Linked DNA regions of Astyanax mexicanus. The protein of the gene in region 1 binds, or shares a complex with, the protein of each later gene. Links are inferred from orthologs where the notes say so. Each region holds a gene or a part of one and is shown in the gene's direction. Other genes may lie near its edges.

The links.
Region 2: phosphatidylinositol N-acetylglucosaminyltransferase subunit P (region 1) and zgc:162634 share a complex: the UniProt entries of both Homo sapiens proteins name them as parts of the glycosylphosphatidylinositol-N-acetylglucosaminyltransferase (GPI-GnT) complex. The link is inferred for Astyanax mexicanus from reciprocal best matches to the Homo sapiens genes PIGP and PIGY.

What each region holds. Positions count from the first base shown.
Region 1 is NC_064427.1:35,147,067-35,158,179, reverse strand, and holds the start of phosphatidylinositol N-acetylglucosaminyltransferase subunit P, read left to right. Parts: upstream 1-7,093; 5' UTR 7,094-7,415; coding exon 7,416-7,497; intron 7,498-9,148; coding exon 9,149-9,221; intron 9,222-9,587; coding exon 9,588-9,706; intron 9,707-11,113. Other genes in the region: E3 ubiquitin-protein ligase TTC3, read right to left, coding at 83-148, 279-357, 1,258-1,417, 2,367-2,409, 2,794-2,872, 5,135-5,164, 6,052-6,059. UniProt on the Homo sapiens protein: Part of the glycosylphosphatidylinositol-N-acetylglucosaminyltransferase (GPI-GnT) complex that catalyzes the transfer of N-acetylglucosamine from UDP-N-acetylglucosamine to phosphatidylinositol and participates in the first step of GPI biosynthesis.
Region 2 is NC_064417.1:17,142,547-17,151,489, forward strand, and holds zgc:162634 (phosphatidylinositol N-acetylglucosaminyltransferase subunit Y), read left to right. Parts: upstream 1-6,758; 5' UTR 6,759-6,908; coding exon 6,909-7,124; 3' UTR 7,125-7,271; downstream 7,272-8,943. Other genes in the region: uncharacterized protein si:ch211-176l24.4, read right to left, coding at 8,342-8,943. UniProt on the Homo sapiens protein: Part of the glycosylphosphatidylinositol-N-acetylglucosaminyltransferase (GPI-GnT) complex that catalyzes the transfer of N-acetylglucosamine from UDP-N-acetylglucosamine to phosphatidylinositol and participates in the first step of GPI biosynthesis.

The sequences.
Region 1 (11,113 bases):
GTTTGCTTTCATTTCAATCTTTCTTTGTTTGATTTTGAGTTTATTTTACTTCATATTTGTCATTTATGTAAAGTATACTTACCAGTTTAAAAGATGTGCTTAATAGTACCAACTCCCGTGCTTTTCTTTCAGGATCTGTGTCTGCCAGCTGTAAAGGAAAGATATGCACACAATAGATGTTATTGACTAAAACAGAAAAAGTCTGTAAAAGCCTGTTGGCTATGTTCTTGTGTATTCGATGAGTTCAGGACATGCTGCAGCAAAAGTGGAAAACATACACATCTCTCTACTGTATTCAGGATGAGCTCCAGGAGTTCAATTCTGTGTAGCCTTTTCAAATTCAAATCGTTTGAAACACTGAAAAAGAAAGAAAAACAAAACCGAGCATAATCTTATTACATGAAGAGACATGTATTATTCTTTACAAATACCATGTAAAAATGTTAAGTTAGTTAAGTTTTACAGTTGAGAAAAAAAACAAAAAAACAAACTGCAGCACTACACGTCTGCACACGTAGACGCTTTATGATTCCTCAGTGTAAAACATTGCACCATGCAGCATTTTTCAGTACTAAATTAAAGTTGCAGTCTGTATTATTTTGTTTCTAAACTGAAAGCAAAAGCATTTCTGAGTGGAATAGGAATAAAAGTTCCTAGTTTCGGGTCGCGCGTCTCTGGAGTTCTTCAGGCCACGTCGAGCGTCTTTATGTACTTACATCACACATACAGCCTCTAACAGAGGATCTGGCTTAGTTTTACTGAACGCGAGCGGCTGGTGGAGCACAGTGGAGTATAGACTAAAGAACTGTTTTAGCCAATAAATAATAATAAGCAATCAATTGTTTGTGTTATGTGCATTGAGTTTAAGGTTTTATATTACTTTTGTTAAGTAGGCAGAAAGTAATATTCATAATAATAATAATAATGACTTTAATAATGGCTTACATTCTTCCTCATCCAATCAAATTTTAGAATGCCGGTCTTTAGGAGCTAAGTTTGGGACCACTGCTTACCAGTGGTATAATCCTGTGCAATAGACTTTTAAATGAGGAGTAACACTGACTGCATATTTTCTGACCAACCCAAACTCAGAAAAATTAAGTCACTATTCGTCACTGCCACGTCTCAAAAAAACACAAAAAAAAACAGGCAGGCAGCAGAATCCTGTAGCATTGTTCTCTACAGCACAGAACATGAGCTAGGAGAGCCAGAGCTAAACTCTAAATAAAAAAAAAAAAGAAAAGAAAAAAAACTTACTTGGAGTCCAGGAAGCCCATGTCCACCGCCCAGGCAGTGGTGTCGTGATTGTCTTGCTGCCGGAACAGAATGTGCCACCAGAACACAGAGATGTGCATCATGTGTCCAACAGCCTCCCTCACCTCCAGCTTTATTCTAGCCCAACGCTCATACAGGACGTCTACATTCATCACAAAAAAACATGAATACATGAATATACAGCATAATAAATCACCAACTTCACTCTTTAACTGGCTACTAAACCCCCTGACTTTCGCTGACTTCACCCTCAGCTCAAATGTGAAAAAGGCTTTAAAAAAAATAGGAGGAGTAGTTTGGGAGGGGCACTGGGTGATGTATGGGTTTAGAGGTAAGGCATGAGAGGGCCCTGCAGAAGCAGAAATTACCACAATAAAATAATTGTTTAAAGCTTAGGAAATGTTTATAATAATTCTATGCAGGACTGGTACGTTTTATTAGTTTAAAAGGAACAAATTTTAGCTATTAATGAAAAAAAATGGTTTAGGGTTAAGTAGCTCTTTGTGCAGTAGGACACGTTGGTTCTTTAACTTTAACTGCATAAAGTACTAATCGTCCCTGTCACACAAAAACCCTGTATCTCAAAAATGGAAACTGTACAGGTATCTTATACCTTATACAAGATGATTTAAAAAAAAAAAAAAAAACACTTCTTGACTTTGTGTTGTTGTAAGGATTTTAGATGTTTTCGCAACCCTCCACCACCCCCTCTCTTGTTCCTTTTTTATTCCATCTCTCCTTCCTCACTCTACTTAAAGGAGAAGGAGGGCTTGCTTCCTACGACAAGCTGAAGCTGTCCAAACTTCAGTCCAAAGTTCTCTGAGTTCCCCTCTTCTCATCTTTCTGTTCTCACATAGCCATAAGATAATAGCATGTTTTAAACAAACAAAATGGAAATAAAAGTTATGTAAAATGATTTGAATCAAGCCAATTTTGCTGCATTTCCATTTTTCCAATTGTTTTTACAAAATGCGAAGAATTCAAAGAATAAGTAGCTGATTTTAATCATAACAAAAGTAAAAATGGCAAAAACAGTATTTTAAGACAGTAATTTATTACATATACATTAAAACAGGAGGGAATAATCTTACCAGGTGGTTCCATGTGAATGTATGGAAAGGTGTTCTGGTAAATCTATAAGGAAAAAATAAATAATCAGAAATTAGCTAGAGAAGACAATTTTCTTTTGGCATCTTTGATAGCTCAGACACATTTAATTTTACACTGACATTTCACTTCCTTCTTCAAACTTCCTGTGGTTGTATAATAAGTTCTTCCTTAAATTAGAACCAAAATGTACGTACCATACTAACTATTACTTACATTGATTTATTCATAACAGAAATTGTGTAATGTTTATACAATTATATAAATGCCTTTGTTGCCTGTTTTATATCTCATCTCATTATATCATATCTCATCATACAAACTTTGTGTTTGTATACTGTGATGTTACAGTAAAAATATATGTTTGTTCAAAAAATATATATGTAATCTGGTCTGCGTCTTCGCACTTACAATTTTGGTCTTGTGTCGGACCACATCAGGACCGTCCTCAATATCTGAATCGTCAGACTCCAACATTGTGGGCAGAAGCCTAAAACACACAGAAGATGCAGAGTTTACAAGAAAGTCAGACTTTATCTCTGATTGGGAACATTTTGGGAATGAGCACAAAGTTCATGGAAGAGTGAACAGATGCTCTCTCAGAGGTTCTTACCTTAACCTGGCCAACATAATCGACACAAAAAACAGATTCTAAGTGTGGAACTTAACTTAACTGTTCGGCCTGCTAAGCTAAGCCAGCCAGCTAAAGTAACTCCCTGTGATATGTTTTAAATATCTAGAGGTGGGTAACACAGGTACAGGAAGTTAAAAATTCATCCGAGCTCTGCAGCTCTTGTGCTCTGCTCTGCTGGGACACAACACTAGAAATTGATTTTTAATCTCTATGCCTGGGTTACTCACCTCTAAAAATATCAATAATATTATTATTAGCAATAAAATTCAAATTGTAGATGTTTAAAAAGCTATATTTTATAGATTTAGTAGAAATACACTTTTTTACTAGTCTCTTCAACATTATAGATTAGGACCCAGGGACTTATTGGTGAAGCTCAGCATAGTCACCCAGACCTGGAATTGAACCCCAGTCTCCTACAAAATGTGGTAGCTCACAAACAGGAGGTGGTGTTATCCACTGCGCTACACCAACGGTTTACAGATGTGTACCTGAGCTTTACTAGGCAGAATTACAGTGGAGATATGTGGAATTATTTTCTTCTTTTTTTTTTTTTTTTTTTTTAATTTTATTTCAAAATTTTCCCATTTTCCCCTCAATTTACACTGCCATTTACCCAACCCACTCATTAGGACTCCCCCTATCACTAGTAATGCCCCAACACACCAGGAGGGTGAAGACTAATACATGCTTCCTCCGATACATGTGAAGTCAGCCACCGCTTCTTTTCGAGCTGCTGCTGATGCATCTTTGCAGAGTAGCATCACAGCGCGCTCGGAGGAAAGCGGAGCGACTCGGTTCTGATACATCATCTCACAGACGCCCTGTGCTGTGGACATCACCCTAGAAGAGATGTGAGGAGAGATGTGGGGTTCGAACCTGCGACCTCCCGCTCATAGTGACAGCGCTTTAGACCGCTGGACCACTCGGCGCCTGGCAATTATTTTCTAATAGTAAAAACAATATATATATAATTATTCTTAGCGTTAGTGTGGCATTAAAGAGTTAACACATGCAGTTAATATGAAAACTTATTTTGTTTGTAAACTTAATTTGTTTTAATGCTAATTAATCATGTGACAAAATTGACAGCCCCCAGTGACACATTAGCAGTTTTATTAGCAATATATCACAGCAACGCTCACTGTTGAGTTCAGAAGGTAAATTATCTTTTATTTATGATGAACACACACACACACACACAGCTGATGGCACGTTTCCTCTTTTCAAGCTGTTGAAAGTGGAATATGGAGCTACACTAGCGTTTATTTTATCCATTAAATCTTTCAGTTAAACTCTAACTCAGAAAATCACAATATTTTAGTTTAAAAAGCATTAAAGCTACACTGAAATATAACAATACAGTAAAAAAAGTAAAACAAAATATAGCTAACTACCAGCATTTATAAACATGTAATCATGATTTTATTCATCATTTACTCACAGAATGACACCCATAATAAAAATGTAGGTGTTTCTAACTGATTATTTTGTTCACATTTAAATACACATTATCAAAAGTTTAGTCTTGAGGAAGAAAAAGTGTGATTAATCATGATTAATGACAGAATTATATCGTGATTCTTTTTATTAACTGTTTTAATCAACTGACACTAGTAAAATATAATTATAAATAGCTAAGAGAGCAAAAATCATCTATGTAAATCAGTGGTAACACGTGAATAGTCAAACATTTGTTAACCTAAATTAGTGAAGTAAACAGCTAAGCTAGTTAATTTAACTAAAGTACTTTCGTTACACAGTGTAAAGTTACTTGTACTCAGATGTAATGACTATAAAGGCCTCTTGACTTGACTTGTTAGAAAACTAACTAGCTAACCTAGCTACATTAAGAATTTGTTGTCCTAATAATACGACTACTTTAAACAGATTTAGCTGAAAAATTATGTTATATAGTAATTATTTTAGAGCTAATATCCGAAATAAGTGTTTCTACTAGTAAATCTGCGTTAGAATGAGTTTCTATCTATTAACTTTAGCCTGAGTAACAGGCAGCTACTTATGTCGTATTTTTGTTGTTCTTCTGTAAAATTCGAGAGGTTCATATCAGAAAAAAACATATAGTTAGCGTTAGATTAGAAACATAAGCTTCCTTACCCACAACTACAGCAGTCCAGATGTGAATGTCTGTAGAAGTAAAGAGCTTCAGTTAGCGTTAGCAGACTACGCTAAGCTAAGCTAAGCTAAGCTAACGGCTGCTGTACTGTACTGTACTGTCTGTTAGTGAGGTAGGTCAGTTCACAAAGGAGGTTTACCAGCGGAAGGTCTACGTTAGACCAAAACTTAAGATCGGGCACTAGAAATAAACCTGCCTCACTTCTTAACATTAGATTAGATGCACAACCTACCCCATATCATTCTGCTCTTAGATATCATAATTCACAAACGTAGTGTAGTTAACTTACTTAAACTAAGCTAGCTAACCAGCTCTCTCTGGTGTTTTGTCGATTTATGCAACCGTGTCAGAACGTGTTAACCATAGGGTATGAAACATATCATTTAAAATATTTAGGTTAAGGCTAAAGGAATCATATCAAAAACAATGTTCAAGCAGAAGTTACTAGCTGTAGAAAAAAATATTCACTTAGATGGCCTAACGTTAAATCACTTTATTATTTAAATTTGAGACACTTTATATACTTTTATCAAATAATCAAATGATATCAAAATAATGACAACAAATTCAAATTGTATAGCTTATGCGCGTAATCCGAGTAAAACAGAATCATCCTTAAAAAAGCGCATTAAAATTAATTATATAAAATATTTTACATACACACAAAAAAATATCTGACCGCACATGCGCAGTACAGTCTACTCGCACATGTTGACGGGTAGCAAATTTCGACATACCACCGACCCACAAGCTTTTAGCCCTACGGTCCACCCGACAGCCGCGATCCCGCGTTTTTATCCTCGGTAAGTTTGGAAAGTCACAGCAGCTGCACACAGCCGTGTAAAACAATACTCCCGCCACAATTTTCACCATGAAATAAGTCAGATATTCAACAAACCTGTCCATAAGTTACGGTCTCCTGGGTGGGGGAAGATTTCCTGAAACATAGAGCCACGAACTCCTACCTCAGACTATAGCAGCTCCGCCGAGACAGCCCGCAGTGTAAACAGGAGACACTGCCCTCTGCCGCTTATTTCACACACAAAGGACAATAAAAACCCTGTCAAATATATAAATGACTCGGCCCTTATTATTTAAAAGTATTGTATTAGTCTGTTTTATGAGAAACACAATGATTTTCTATTTAAAACACTGCAACTGCTTTTATTTTGTTTTACTAGAATTGATAGGACAGTCACAGTCTGATGAGTACAGCACTGGGAAAAATAAGAGACCTCTCAAAAGTATGAGTTTCTTTAATTTTCCCAAATTAAAAACCTCTGGAATATAATCAAGAGGAAGACAGAGGATCCATCAAGCCATCAAACCAAGCTGAACTGCTTGAATTTTTGTACCAGGAGTGGCATAAAGCTATCCAAAAGCAATGTGTACGACTGGTGGAGAAGAACATGCCAAGATGCATAAAAACTGTAATTAAAGGTTATTCCACCAAATATTGATTTATAAACTCCTAATGTTTCATGAATATGAACTTGTTTTCTTTGCATTACTTGAGCTGTGAAAGCTCTGCATCTTTTTTGCTACTTCAGGCTTTTCTTAGTTTCTGCAAATAAATGTTTTAAATGACAATATTTTTATTTGGAATTTGGGAGAAATGTTGGACGTAGTTTATAGAATAAAACAAAAACGTTCATTTTACTCGAACATATACCTATAAATAGCAAAATCAGAGAAACTGATTCAGAAATTGAAGTGGTCTCTTAAGGTTTTTAAGAGCTGTATATGCAGCGTGGTTCTGCTCCAAACCTAAAGATGGCAGTAGTTAACTAGCCTGTAGTGGAGGGCCCGTGCTCCACGACTGTAGAAAGGGTATATCTGAAACCGCACACTCTAGTGCACTTCTTTAAGTGCACTAAGAGGTTCACTGCTGTGGTATTTTAGAGTCTTATATATAGTAGACTTCACTGTGTGGTATCTGGATGTACCCTGTGTACTGTAGCTAGCTTTAAAAGGGAAGAGGTTTGTTTTAAGAGGTGGTTTTACACATATTTAAATCCAGTTAATTTAAGACATATTAAAAATTAATTTAGACACGTTTAACGCTCGCTAGCTAAAGTTTATTTTTATCTGTTGTTTTTGTGGTGAAATTTCAGCCATGCTAACCAGCTAGCTGTAGCTTTAGCTACCTAACTCATTTAGGGCAGTGCTGTGTTCTGCTGTATTAGCTTGGTTAGCTAGCTTAGCTAAGTTAACAACGTTAGGTTATATAGTTAGCTATATATCACATTAGTCACTATAATCATGGTAGAAAACTCTCCATCTCCGGTGCCTGAGAGAGCTATTTATGGGTTTGTGCTGTTCCTGGGATCACAGTTTGGCTTTTGTAAGTGTCACTTCTTAATGAAACTAATGATACTTCTCTTCATCTTCATTTTACTAGTGTTAGCTAGCTGCAGTACCTCACATAGTTAGCTAAGGGAGTATCACCCTACACAAAAATATTTTATTATAACTGTTCATGTGACAACACTAAAGATATGACACTTTGATACAATATAAAAGAGCCAGTGTACAGCTTGTATAAAAGTGCAGTGTAAATTTGCTGTGCCCTCAGAATAACTCAACACACAGCCATTAATGTCTAAACAGCTGGTAACAAGAGTAAGTATTACAATTGGCCAAATTGTTCCCAAAGTGTCACTATTTTGTGTGGACATTATTTTCCTGCACTGTCCTAACTCTTTTGGGCATGGAGTTTACCACAGCTCCATTTGAGGATGCCCCACAGATGCTCAATAGGGTTTAGGTCTGGAGCCATTCAGCTTCAGTTTCCTCAGCAAAGCGGTGGTGGTCATTTTGGAGGTGTGTTAGGGGTTGTTTTTTTGTTGTTGTTATAAACTGCCATGCAGCCCAGTTCCTGGAGGTTGGAGGGTCAATGCTTTCCTAGCTGGCCACCAACATCAATAGAAATTTTAGGTTAAATGTTGGTCATAACGTCAGATGACAAACATTTTACGCCAGGATAAAATCTACTACTGTTACGTCCCTTTAGGGTTATAATATCACAGTACACGTTGCAATTGTCAAAGTGTCATATCTTCATTATTTTCCCTTGTAAAGGTAAAAAATATATATACAAAAATGTAAGAGGTGCACTCACGTTTATGAGATACTGTATGTATTTTAAGGGTATTAAAAGTAAACAGTTAAAATGCACAGTGTTGAAATGTACGGCAAGTAGGTTGTTTTAGCCTAAAATTACATAATTTTAGTAATCAAAACTCATTTCAGATATCAGCTTTACAATATTAACCAATAATATCAAATCTAAAGATCTATAAAGCGCTGACTCTTCATATTACCAGGAGGATATGTATATAAAATAAAATGTTTGTGGGTTGATTTACCTTGGGTTTACATGCAATCTAACATTATTGATAAGAACTGTTTGTACTGTCAGAAATTATAGCAGAGGTGGGTAATTAATTTTCCCAAAAGGCAGTTTTGTGTGTGTGTGTCTGTGTGTGTGTGTGTGTGTGTGTGTGTGTGTTCAAAAATACAAGACAATGTAACAATAAAAAAATATAGATCAACAAAAAAAATTGCCTCAAAAAAGTTGTAATTATATGGTTTGGATAAGGTGTTACTGATAAGAATAGATACTACAGTTAAGCAGAAAAAATGTGAAGCAGTGAAGTCCGGTTCAATTTCTGAGGTGGATATATGAAGTGCCAGGTATTGAAAGCCAAAAGGCTGGATGTGACCATTTTGTATATTGTATTGTATATTTAATTACAGTTTTTACTTGAACAAAAGTTAATTATAGTTAAGATAGTGTTAAATCCCATGCAAATCCCATATAACTAGTCAAAGTTATATTGACTGTATGTGAATCTAAATATGATATTACTGGTACAAAATAAGTCAGGACTTTTGTTATTGCTGGTGTAATTGTGGGCTATAATGCTTTCCTTGCCATATAAATGTTCATTAATAATAAAGCCAACTAATGTGTTCATGTTGTTTTCTCACAGTGCTGTATTTAGTATGGGCGTATGTTCCTGAGTCCTGGCTCCACTCTATTGGATTGACGTACTGGCCTCAGAAGTATGTGAATCATGTCCTTAGATAGTCTGGATTTATGTTTTTTTTTTTATATATAAAATTTATTTAAGATCAGGAAGGTTCATAGAAGGTCTCCTCTGAACTGTTCAGTGCTTTGCTCTCAGCCATCCTTGGATATTTTTAGCTGTGTGTTTTGGGTCATTATACTGTTAAAGAACTCACCTTTTAAGCAATATCTTCTGCAACATAGACATTATTTAAGTTACTCTTAAATTAGGCATTATGCATCAAAGAGACTTTGTTTTCAGCTAATAAACTTTTTTGACAATTTATATGCTCGCTTTTGTAAATTGGAACTGAATGTCAAAATTACAAAATGATTAATAAGGGACACTGATTTGTCTGCAGGTACTGGGCTCTTGCTATTCCGATCTACCTGTTGGTTGCTTTAGCAGTGTGTTTCGTGCTGCTGTTTGGAGTCAATATGATGAACACTGCTCCTCTGTGTTCTGTGAACAACATCACAGGTATGAGGTTGGGTTTCTCCACAGCTGTAATAATATTAGAAGTGGCAACCGGGGTCTTCTTTCTAGAGGCCCTCAAAGTTTCTGAAAACTTTGAATTTTTTATGTTTTTTAAACACAAGTTAATCATATTAGTTTTATAAAGCATGGTGATGTTTAAGCATATTGGCTATATTTAGAATTGTAAACAGCATCACTACATCACTAGTTCAGAAGGTAGATGGGTTACTTTCTGTTTATGCTGAAATATGCATTCAATCTTATAACTAACTCTTACTGCATCTCTCTCTCTCTCACACACACACACACACACACACACAAACACACAATTTCTCTCTCTCAAGAGCATGCTCTCGCTCTTGTGCTCTCTCTAAAACACATCCATGTGCGCACTTACAGGCCTGCTGCCCTCCTCTCTTAAAGCTCTTTTTTTACTTTTACTCAGCACAATCATTTGTTCTAGTTTAAAAGCATCAGCTGAGATATTACAATCATTTGTTGGAAAAACACACCACAATAAATATAAAAAATACACACAAATACATGAAAATACTAGCATTTTAATGTATAATGTTATGTAATTTTATATCTATGACATTTATGTATATAATATACATACAATTCAGCTTTCCCAATTTTACCATTATTGTTATAGTAGATATTTATATAGATACAAATATCTACTATTCTGTTGATCAGTCATTACTTTTAATATGTGGAAATGATGAGAATAGCCTGCTCTTGGTTAGACCAAATGTTGGCCTGTCGGTGCTCACCATGGTTTGCAGCACCTTTCACATTTACTTTATTCATTTAGAAAGTAAAAAAGTGCAGACAAACAATGTATATACAGAGAAGTGATATAGTGATTCAGAGAAACTGGAGAAGAACTGAAAACTGAATGATCTACTTCTAGCCAGTTCAAAACTAAATGCTGCTCTCATGTAAATGTTATGTAAAATATAGAAGCTCATGCAAAACTTTACACACACCAGGTCAGATGTCCCATGCGGTTTATTTCTTAGTAGAAAATAGAATTAGAGAATTGATCCCTTCAGAAAATTGTTGCCGTAGGTTCTGTATCTGCCAACCTTTAATCTCCCTAAATAGTAATTTTATATTAAAGTTGGACATGTATATTCTCTACCGAAAATTACTATTTGTTTTAACTTAAATAAAATTTAGAATTACAGTGACATTAGTTTGTATTTATTTTTTATTATTTTTAATGCTGTAAAGTTATACTGGTAACTCTAGTCTCTCTGTAGGTTATAATTATGTATATCTGCATTGGCATTGCATAGTTAGAAAGGTAAATGTGTACAATCTAATATCGGCCCAGAATTCCTACATCTGTGCATCCCTAAAAACAATAACTTTACTTATTAATAAATGTCCTTATTAAAGGAT
Region 2 (8,943 bases), on another chromosome or scaffold:
TAGAACGAGTATACTGTGAATAGCTTAAATAACTACAAATATTACTGTACGATGTTTTTATTATGACCCCTTGAACTTGGCATTTGAGAAGATTAAAGGAGAATAAATTGCCTGTTCTGCATAATTCGGCATAATGCTAATCGCTAACCAGTGTTTATGACTAGCCAATTCTAATCGCTAGCAAGTGCTATCACTATGCTAAGGCAGGTCAGTTATTAAAAGCCCTAATGACATAGTGTGAAACAGTACATGAATTTTGTTGACTTTTAGACATTGCGTTGCTTAAATTATGTGCTTTAATGGTTTATAAATAGGTTGTTATATAGTTGGGAAATTCCTGTGACACATTTGGATCCATAACTTCTGAACCATAAGGCCTATTCTCAAGATTTTTTTAGACTTGTTAAACTATGTGACCGTGCTTGGACCGTCAATTGCCACTTGCGGCTATAGACCATTTCAGAGGAATATTTATGAGCGTACGAAGTGACGTAGCTGTTCCTAGGACACTTCCATTTAGCGGTAAACAGCGTTCAAAACAGTGGACGTATGAATGCAAACTTCACCTAATCTGAGAGTCACAAACATTGAAAATCAGGTCAAATTGTTCTTTAAACAAGTAAACTATGGAGGACCAAAAATTACATAAGTATAAATAAATATACATATAAATGTATAGATATATAAATACATAAAAGAATAAATAAATTAATGTTGAAATTAATAAATAAATAAATAAATGCACAAATAAATAAATAAATACGTGCACAAATAATTGTATAGGTAAATTAATTAATAAATACATTTCTTATTTATATATGTATTTATTCATTTATATGTGCATTTATTTATGTCAACATTTATTTATTTATTCATTTATTTATTTCTTGCAAAATATGCGCTCTCATTTTGAGAGCTGTATACTTGAAAATAGCGCCACCGGAAGCGTCGAAGGAACAGACATGCGCAGTAGCTTTGTTATTGTTTTCCTCATTAAAACGGCCTATATTTATTATTATTATTATTATTATTATTATTATTATTGTTATTATTATTGTTATTAAATTATAATGTCATAATTTACTGTTATTTATTTTTAAACTCTACAAATGTTTACACTTGTATGTGTCTACTGAATATTTGAAACTATTGAACTATAAAATATTGTACTATATTAAACTATTTATTTTGTTTAAGGAGTTTATTCTTTAAGTAAATTACATTTTTCAGTTACTGTCCCCAATAGGCCACGTTAACAAAATTTTCAGGATGGTATATTGTCCCAGAAATTATTACGATAAACAATAATATTATAATTTTAAAGCGCCACTATAGAAAATTCTTTTTCCTGCTTCTGGGCTCTCAAAGGTAATTTTAGACAATGTGCCACACTAATAATATACTAGCATAATATTATTACACCATTTTACAGTTAAACTAACTTTATATTATTAAGAGCAGACATTGGGCTCCCAATATAAAAATATTTTAATATCTTAAATAACTAAAACAAATAAAGTACACCCACCCTGGGTTCTGAAAAACTGCACTAAATATTAAACAGACCCTAATTCAAAAAATAAAGTAACAACAAATAGATTAAAGTAACATTTACATTAATTATTTTTTTAAAACTCTAAACACATGGGCACTTGCAGAATCATTTTTTCATGATATATGTATATGCTGTAAAACACACATTAGCTTAGTCCATATGATCAGAGACACACAGATAGCTCAGCAGGCCAGAACTTTTGCTATAAATATATTTTTTAATGTAACTGTCAGACTAATTCAGAGCAACAACAACAGGAGGAACAATTTTTTATATTAAACATTCAGTTGGATGAATTGGGCTGGATGGTTGTGCTTTAAATAAGATCTCATGTTAGTAATATTGCCCCCTTTTGTTTCCACTGTTGTGAAACCTTGTAAACATACCGGCTGATTCGCGCTGATGGTTCTCCTCGCTCATTTGGCTTAAAGCCAAAATACTCCCGCACCGGAGCCGTGGAATTCGGTTTTAAAACACAGCCCATCCCGGACTAAACTTCCTCAAACGTTCTCTAAAGCCGTTTAGTTTTAAGAAAGTCCAATTAGCCTCGAATACGTTCGCTATCTAACACATCTACACACACACTCTCCTCGCTGTGTGTGTGTGTGTGTGTGTGTGTGTGTGTGTGTGTGTGTGTGTGTGTGTGTGTGTGTGTGTGTAGCAGGACAGTCACGGCTCACTCTCACTGCTGCATAAACTCTGCGAGCACTCAGTTCCTAACCGATAGATGTCGCTGTCTGACGGATCCGGCGAGAGCCGGCCAGAGAGCAGCGGGACTCGCTCTCTCATGTAACTTAAACAAATCCCCTCGGACACGCGCGGCTCTTATCGACGTCGGCAAAATGATCGCGATAAAAAAATTCTCGTACGATAAGTCGATAACATAGTTATCGCGACAGGCCTAATATCATCATCACAAAAATACCCTGTAGCTAAATGGCCTACCAATGTATGTAACCAAGCTACTTCAACAGTTAACTAACTACATTAGATTTAAATAACTAAAATAGAATATGAACAGCTAATAGCTAAAAATAATGACTTATAACTTACTAACAGGTAATGTACTCACTATTTAGGTAATCTAAACCTATTTAATATTATGTTCAGTTATCTTTTACTATAGGCATCACATATTTTTAAGAAAATGTTACTGTAAGATGGTACTGAGTTGTGAAAGTAGATCTGTGCTGAGCTGTGAAATAGTAAATGTGGGTCATGTCTGACCAATATGTGTAAAACTGATGTAGAAATACAAAAGCTTCTTCATAAAATAAAAAAGAAAAGAAAAAGAAAATTTGTGCTAAAGAAACACTCAGCTATACATGAAGTTCCATAAAAAATTGAAGGTGGGTAATTTTTGACCCATGTGGGCATTAGAGGGGTAGTGATATCAAAAGGGCTTTTATTCAAAAAGTAAGTAAGGAAAAAATAAAAGAAGTATGTACTATGATGACTGATTTCAATAAATTATTTTTTTTCTATTGTACATGCTTTGCAGACTACTTGTGTGCATGTGTAAATTGTTTTACAGTTATGTGTCGGAATGAAATATTTCAATGATAAACTTATAATGCAATTTCTATTAAATTTTTAAGTTATCAAAACGTCATGCGTCATGATTCAGTAAAGTGCAATTATAACAGATTTCTTATATTCAGATGGTCACTGAAAAACAATACTACCAGTTTTGTAACAGGCAAGAATTTAAATATGGCACACACGCGCATGAAATAATGTTATATAGAGGTGGGAAATAAGCATAAATTTCAACAGACTGATAATGTGGAGTAAAAACAACTAGAAATATGTAGTACAGGCAATTTATTCTACTTCAAAATTGTATTAAATGCCAAGTTCAGAGGGTCATAATAAAAATGGTACAGTAATATACATTGTTGTTTAGGCTATTCACAGTATAGTAGTGCTGGGCGATATAACGATATCGATTTGTTTCGCGATAATTTTTCCCTCGATGACGATGATAAGCCTGTGCAATAGAATTCGATAAACATTCATTTCCATTTCCGTCTAAGTGGCGCGGCAAACAACGAAAACACAACGTGTAATCAATCCAGAAGACGCTGGAGCAAATTAATAAATAGTTAAGAAAATTGTAATAGTTATTCTCATGCATGCAACAAAAAACCCTAAAGAATAGTGGAGTATGGCCCGACACACGCAAACAACCATAGTGTTTGGACTTTGGGAATAAACGGCCGCACTGTTCAGCACGTTTTAAATAAATTTTAAGTAAATTTTAAGCACTAAATGTAATTAATTCAATTTATATTAGGACCTCGGGGCAGGTGCTGCAAAAATGTGTATGTGGGGCGCGGATTAAAGGAAGAGGTTTTTTTGCGGAGCGGTAACAGGACAAAAACACCTTAAGAATGATGTCTAAATGACTTTCCTCTAATCTAATATAATTTAACATGGTTTAAGGATATAAAATAATTTCTAAACAAACGAACTTTTTAATATTGAGCTTATGGCCCAAGTGCAAAAACACAAAATCATTTATCATTTAGATTATCTGCCTGAACGCGAGCCCGAACCCGAGCTTGAACGCCAGCCTGACTCAGGCGCTGCATGAACTCGGGCCGGTCGAGAACACCGCTTTCCTCTCAGATTAGGCGGAAGAAAATGGTCTTTTTTTTAATGTAACAAATCACACTGTGATTTTTGTGATATTTCCCCAATTACAGCTCAGCTGCGCGTTTAAAGCTCAACGCATGAATTAATCGGTGCGCTGTGCGCCGCGCGTGCTCGCGGGGGATTTGACGCGTCTGTCAAGCAAGTTAATGGACCGTTTTGGGGGCAGAGATTAAGAAGTACAGCAGGTACATCTCAGATTTGTAGTTTAATGCTCTACTAAATTACTGGCTTTAAAACTGGCTCATGATATGGTCGGTTCTGGCTGGATTTTTTCCTGCCTACAGGCTGCATTTGACGGAAAGCAGCTCCTCAGTCAGACAACAGTGTCAGCATACAAATCGTGTGCGTTTCCTACAGGACAAACCATTTAAAAGTGCAGATAAACTCATTAAAAAATCACACAGTGTCTGTCTGGCTTAAAATACTTTTAATAAGGTACAGCTTTTAAATTAATAAATCAACATTCATTAAAAATCCGTGAGAAGTTCTGTATGCTAAATGACAAGCTAAGCTAATAAGCTAATAACATTTAATAATAACAGAAAAATAGATATGAATTTGGAAAATAACCAACTAAAGTGAGCTCAAAATACAATAATAAATATAATCTAACGAATTTCAAAATATAAATTAGAAATATTGAACTTCAATATTAAATTCAACTTCAACTACAAAAAACGCAAGGACCGATAGAACATAACGAACAGAAAAAAATAAATTTGAAATTGGAAAAAAAGTTCAAAATGCTAAAAGAAATAAAACCTAACGAATTTCAGAATATAAAATCTAAATATTGCACTGCAGCAGTACAAAAGCCTAAGTGCTTAAACAAACAAACCAAAAAACAGCCTATCACAAATCATTTTTTGAGCCCGACCCAGCTGAGGAAAAGGTGGGAAATCTTTTTTTTTCCGGCTGGGTCTTGGAAAACTTTGTGGTGAATTAAAGGGGCCGAGTTGCAATTTTTGTTTTACTTTAATCAGTTTTTAATCCGTCTTTTTAAAAACAAATATTCCAATATTGGCTGCCAATCAGTGCCCAATATTCTGAGCTCAAAAAACGCTATTCGGGCCAGCCCTACTAATCTAATATAATTTAACATGGTTTAAGAATATAAAATAATTTCTAAACAAACGAAATATTTAATATTGAGCTTATAGCCCAAGTTTTTTTTTCAGTCATGGAAAATTGGAAAAAATTGGAAAAAAGCCCGAGTTCATGCAGCGCCTGAGTCAGGCTGACGTTCAAGCTCGGGTTCTGGCTCGCGTTCATGATTAATTTGTTTTTTTTAAAAACTAATATTGGAATATTCGCTACCAATTACTGCCAAATATCCGGAGCTCAAAAAATGCTATTCGGGCCAGCCCTAATAATTATGGAGATACAGAAAAAAATATTGTGATAAAACTTCCATCACTCCCTTATTCTCTCACTAATAAAAACAAACCTTTAAGTGTGACACAAAGTGATTTGATTTATATCGTGATACATATCGATATCGACTGATATGGAAAACTATATCGTGATAAGATTTTTTCCCATATCGCCCAGCTCTACAGTATAGTAGTTCTATTTTCATAATTTGGTGTCAACTTCAATAGACTCTGATAATCTGGAGTTAAGGCAGATAGATATATGCAGAACAGGCAATTTATTGTCCTTTAATCTTCTCAAATGCCAAGATTAAAGGGTCATAATAAACAAATATTGTACAGTAATATGTCTACTTCTTTAAGCTTTTCACTGTATACTAGTTTTATTTTCATAATTTGGTGTCAAATTCAATAGATTCTTTGATAATCTGGAGTTAGGGCAGCTACAAATATGCAGAACAGGCAATTTATTGTCCTTTAATCTTCACAAATGCCAAGTTCAGAGGGTCATAATAAATAATGGTACAGTAATATTTCTAGTTCTTTAGGCTTTTCACAGTATACTAGTTCATTTACATTCAAACATAAATGCAGAACAGGCTATTTATTCTAATTTATGAGCCCAATCTTGCTCTCTACTGACGAATCATTGGCATTTCGACTTTTTAAGGTGGACCGGAAAATCCGAATAAGACACTGGCAAATAAGACGCTAACTCCGTCCTCGTGTACTACTGTTGCATACTACCTACTACTGCTGCACTGCTGCTGTACTACTACTGCTGTACTACTACTGCTGTACTACTACTACTTTATGTTTGATTATACCGCATTATACAAGACACATGAGACCTATTCAATGAATTCAGGCGATCTTCCTTTCAGTCAATTTGGAACAAACCTGATCCAGGTACCTACGTCCTAAAGACTGCTGAACTGTCTGGTTAAGGTGTATTAAGAAATTAGAAATGGAGAAAAATCACTATTACAGTTATTCTTTTTATTGTTCTCTGCAACTGTATTACATTGTAGAATTCTTGCATAGTGTAATGTTTTATTATTTTTAATAAAAGTATTTATTATAAACAATTGTTTTCATTTTTCTTTTTTAGGTACAACAAAGAAACAAATGAATTAATCAATGAAGAGCTTGGCATTGCCTATCCTATTATTGATGGTATTCCTAACATGATTCCTCAAGATGCAAAGCTGATCAAGAAGGCTGAGGGAATTGAAGAGCCCACCCAGTCATAGGTGGAACTACAGCATAAGCCGAGTGCAGTTGTTTATTATATTACATTTGCAGTAAACATCTAAGCCATAATGCTATTTTCTCTGTCAACTGTCACTGTGATAGTACCAATTTTGTCCTTAATTGGACTAATGTATTCTGCAAGTGTGGATGAAAATTTCCCCCAGGGCTGTACCGGCTCAAACAGTGTGTGTTTCTATAGTCTCTTGTTGCCGGTCACTATTCCTGTGTACGTGTTCTTTCATCTGTGGAAATGGATGGGAATCAAGCTGTTTAGACACAATTAGAATGTTTGTTTAATCAGAAGGGTAAATAAAATTCTATGCAGACATAAGTGATTTAAATTTGTATTTTTAAGAACGTTAAAACTTTGTGTTTGTGATTGACTAGATGGGTTACAAAATAAATAAACATATGACTATATTTTACCACTATTCATTGTATTAATCCCAATTCATTTATTTCAGATGTTTGTAACGGTTTAATTCAGCCCGTGCCTAGACACACAAACACGCTATATAACAGAAATAACCGCCTGTTCTTTTATTGTTTCTTCCATAATCAATGGTGTTAAACGTTTTTATAATTATTATTATTTTTAAGAGGAACTGGCTCAACTATCCATGAAGGTCTTTGTACTAAAGTTTGAAGCATTACTATAGGTGTTTATTTGCAATTCAGTAATATGCAATAGTGAGGTCAGAATGTTGAATGATTAACACATCACTTAATCCCAAAAATGTAGCATTACATATAGACAAATTCTTGTATGTGCCCTAAATATTTTGCTCAAATATTTATTAAACCTGTGTGATGCTGATAAATGTTTAAAGTTACCCTGCAATAATGATTTTTTTAATATAATTGCACCCCTAAAATATACATGCAAAAGCTATTTATCTGAGCAGTAAACACATCGAAAGTACAAAGCACTCCTTGAAAAAAATCAATGCCTGATATAACAAATGCTTCATTTAATGAAACCTCCATGTCCATAATCAGGAACCATATTCCAATCACTACAACTAATGAGCCATTCTTCTCAAATTCTACTGTAAATTTTTGCATTTCTCAATGTTGTATGGTTCAAAGCTTTTACAAACAAAACAGATTTACTGCTTAGATAAACACTTATAAATGCTTTTGTAGTAATTTAAAACTTTCTCTTGTACAAAATTGTCAACATGACAGGAAGAGGAAAATACACTGGCTTAACTTTTAACTCAATTAAATGTAAAAAAAAGGTTTTATTCAAAGACATTTTGGAGCATTTTATTTGTCCAATATTTGTGAAAATGTGCCACAATGTAAATAACGGCCAGGTTTAAATTATGTCAAAAAGTGAAAAACAGCAACAAAAAAAAATGCACCACAGCAACGATAAATGTATGTGTGCATATATATTATACAGTGAACACACTAAAGAGAACAAAAAGAACCTGTATTGCTAATCCTAACAAACAGTTCCAGATGCTTTCACTATAATTCTTTTCATAAATCAGGTTCACTTCTTTAGCTTCTTATCAGCACTTCCAGTCAACATCATCAAAGGTGACCTTGCCTTTGGCGATTCTCCTTCTCCCTTCACCCTGAAGAAGAAGGACTCATTGAGCCGTGTCTGAATCACCTTCAAATGAGATAGGTCTGCTCTGCTCTTTAAAGGAATGTCACTCTCATCACTTGAAGTCAGATCTGTTATCTTTAGCTCTGAACAACTCTGATGTTCCACTGGTTTACTGATGCACTGATCTAGGTGCACTTCTTGCCTGGTTCTTTTGGGTAGGCTCAAGTCTATCGGTTCTTCAGTACATATGGATGCTCTGCTCTTATGATGAAACCTGAGAGAGCCAGCAAGCCCCGGAGAAGTGAAGAAGTTTTCAGTTTGAACAGAAGCTTCAGCCGTCTGCTTGCATGATGGGGTCTCCTGTGATGCTTGTCTGTACTTTATGTTGTTCTGGTATGGTGGAACAGCAACACCCTCATCAGTGCTGGGGCTTCTGGAGATGTCTTCATGCAGCTCAGAGAAGAACTTCTGTGTGATGAACAAATCTTGGCTGTTGATGTATTCAGGTGTAATTTGGATCTCTGCACTCTTTTCTTCAAAAG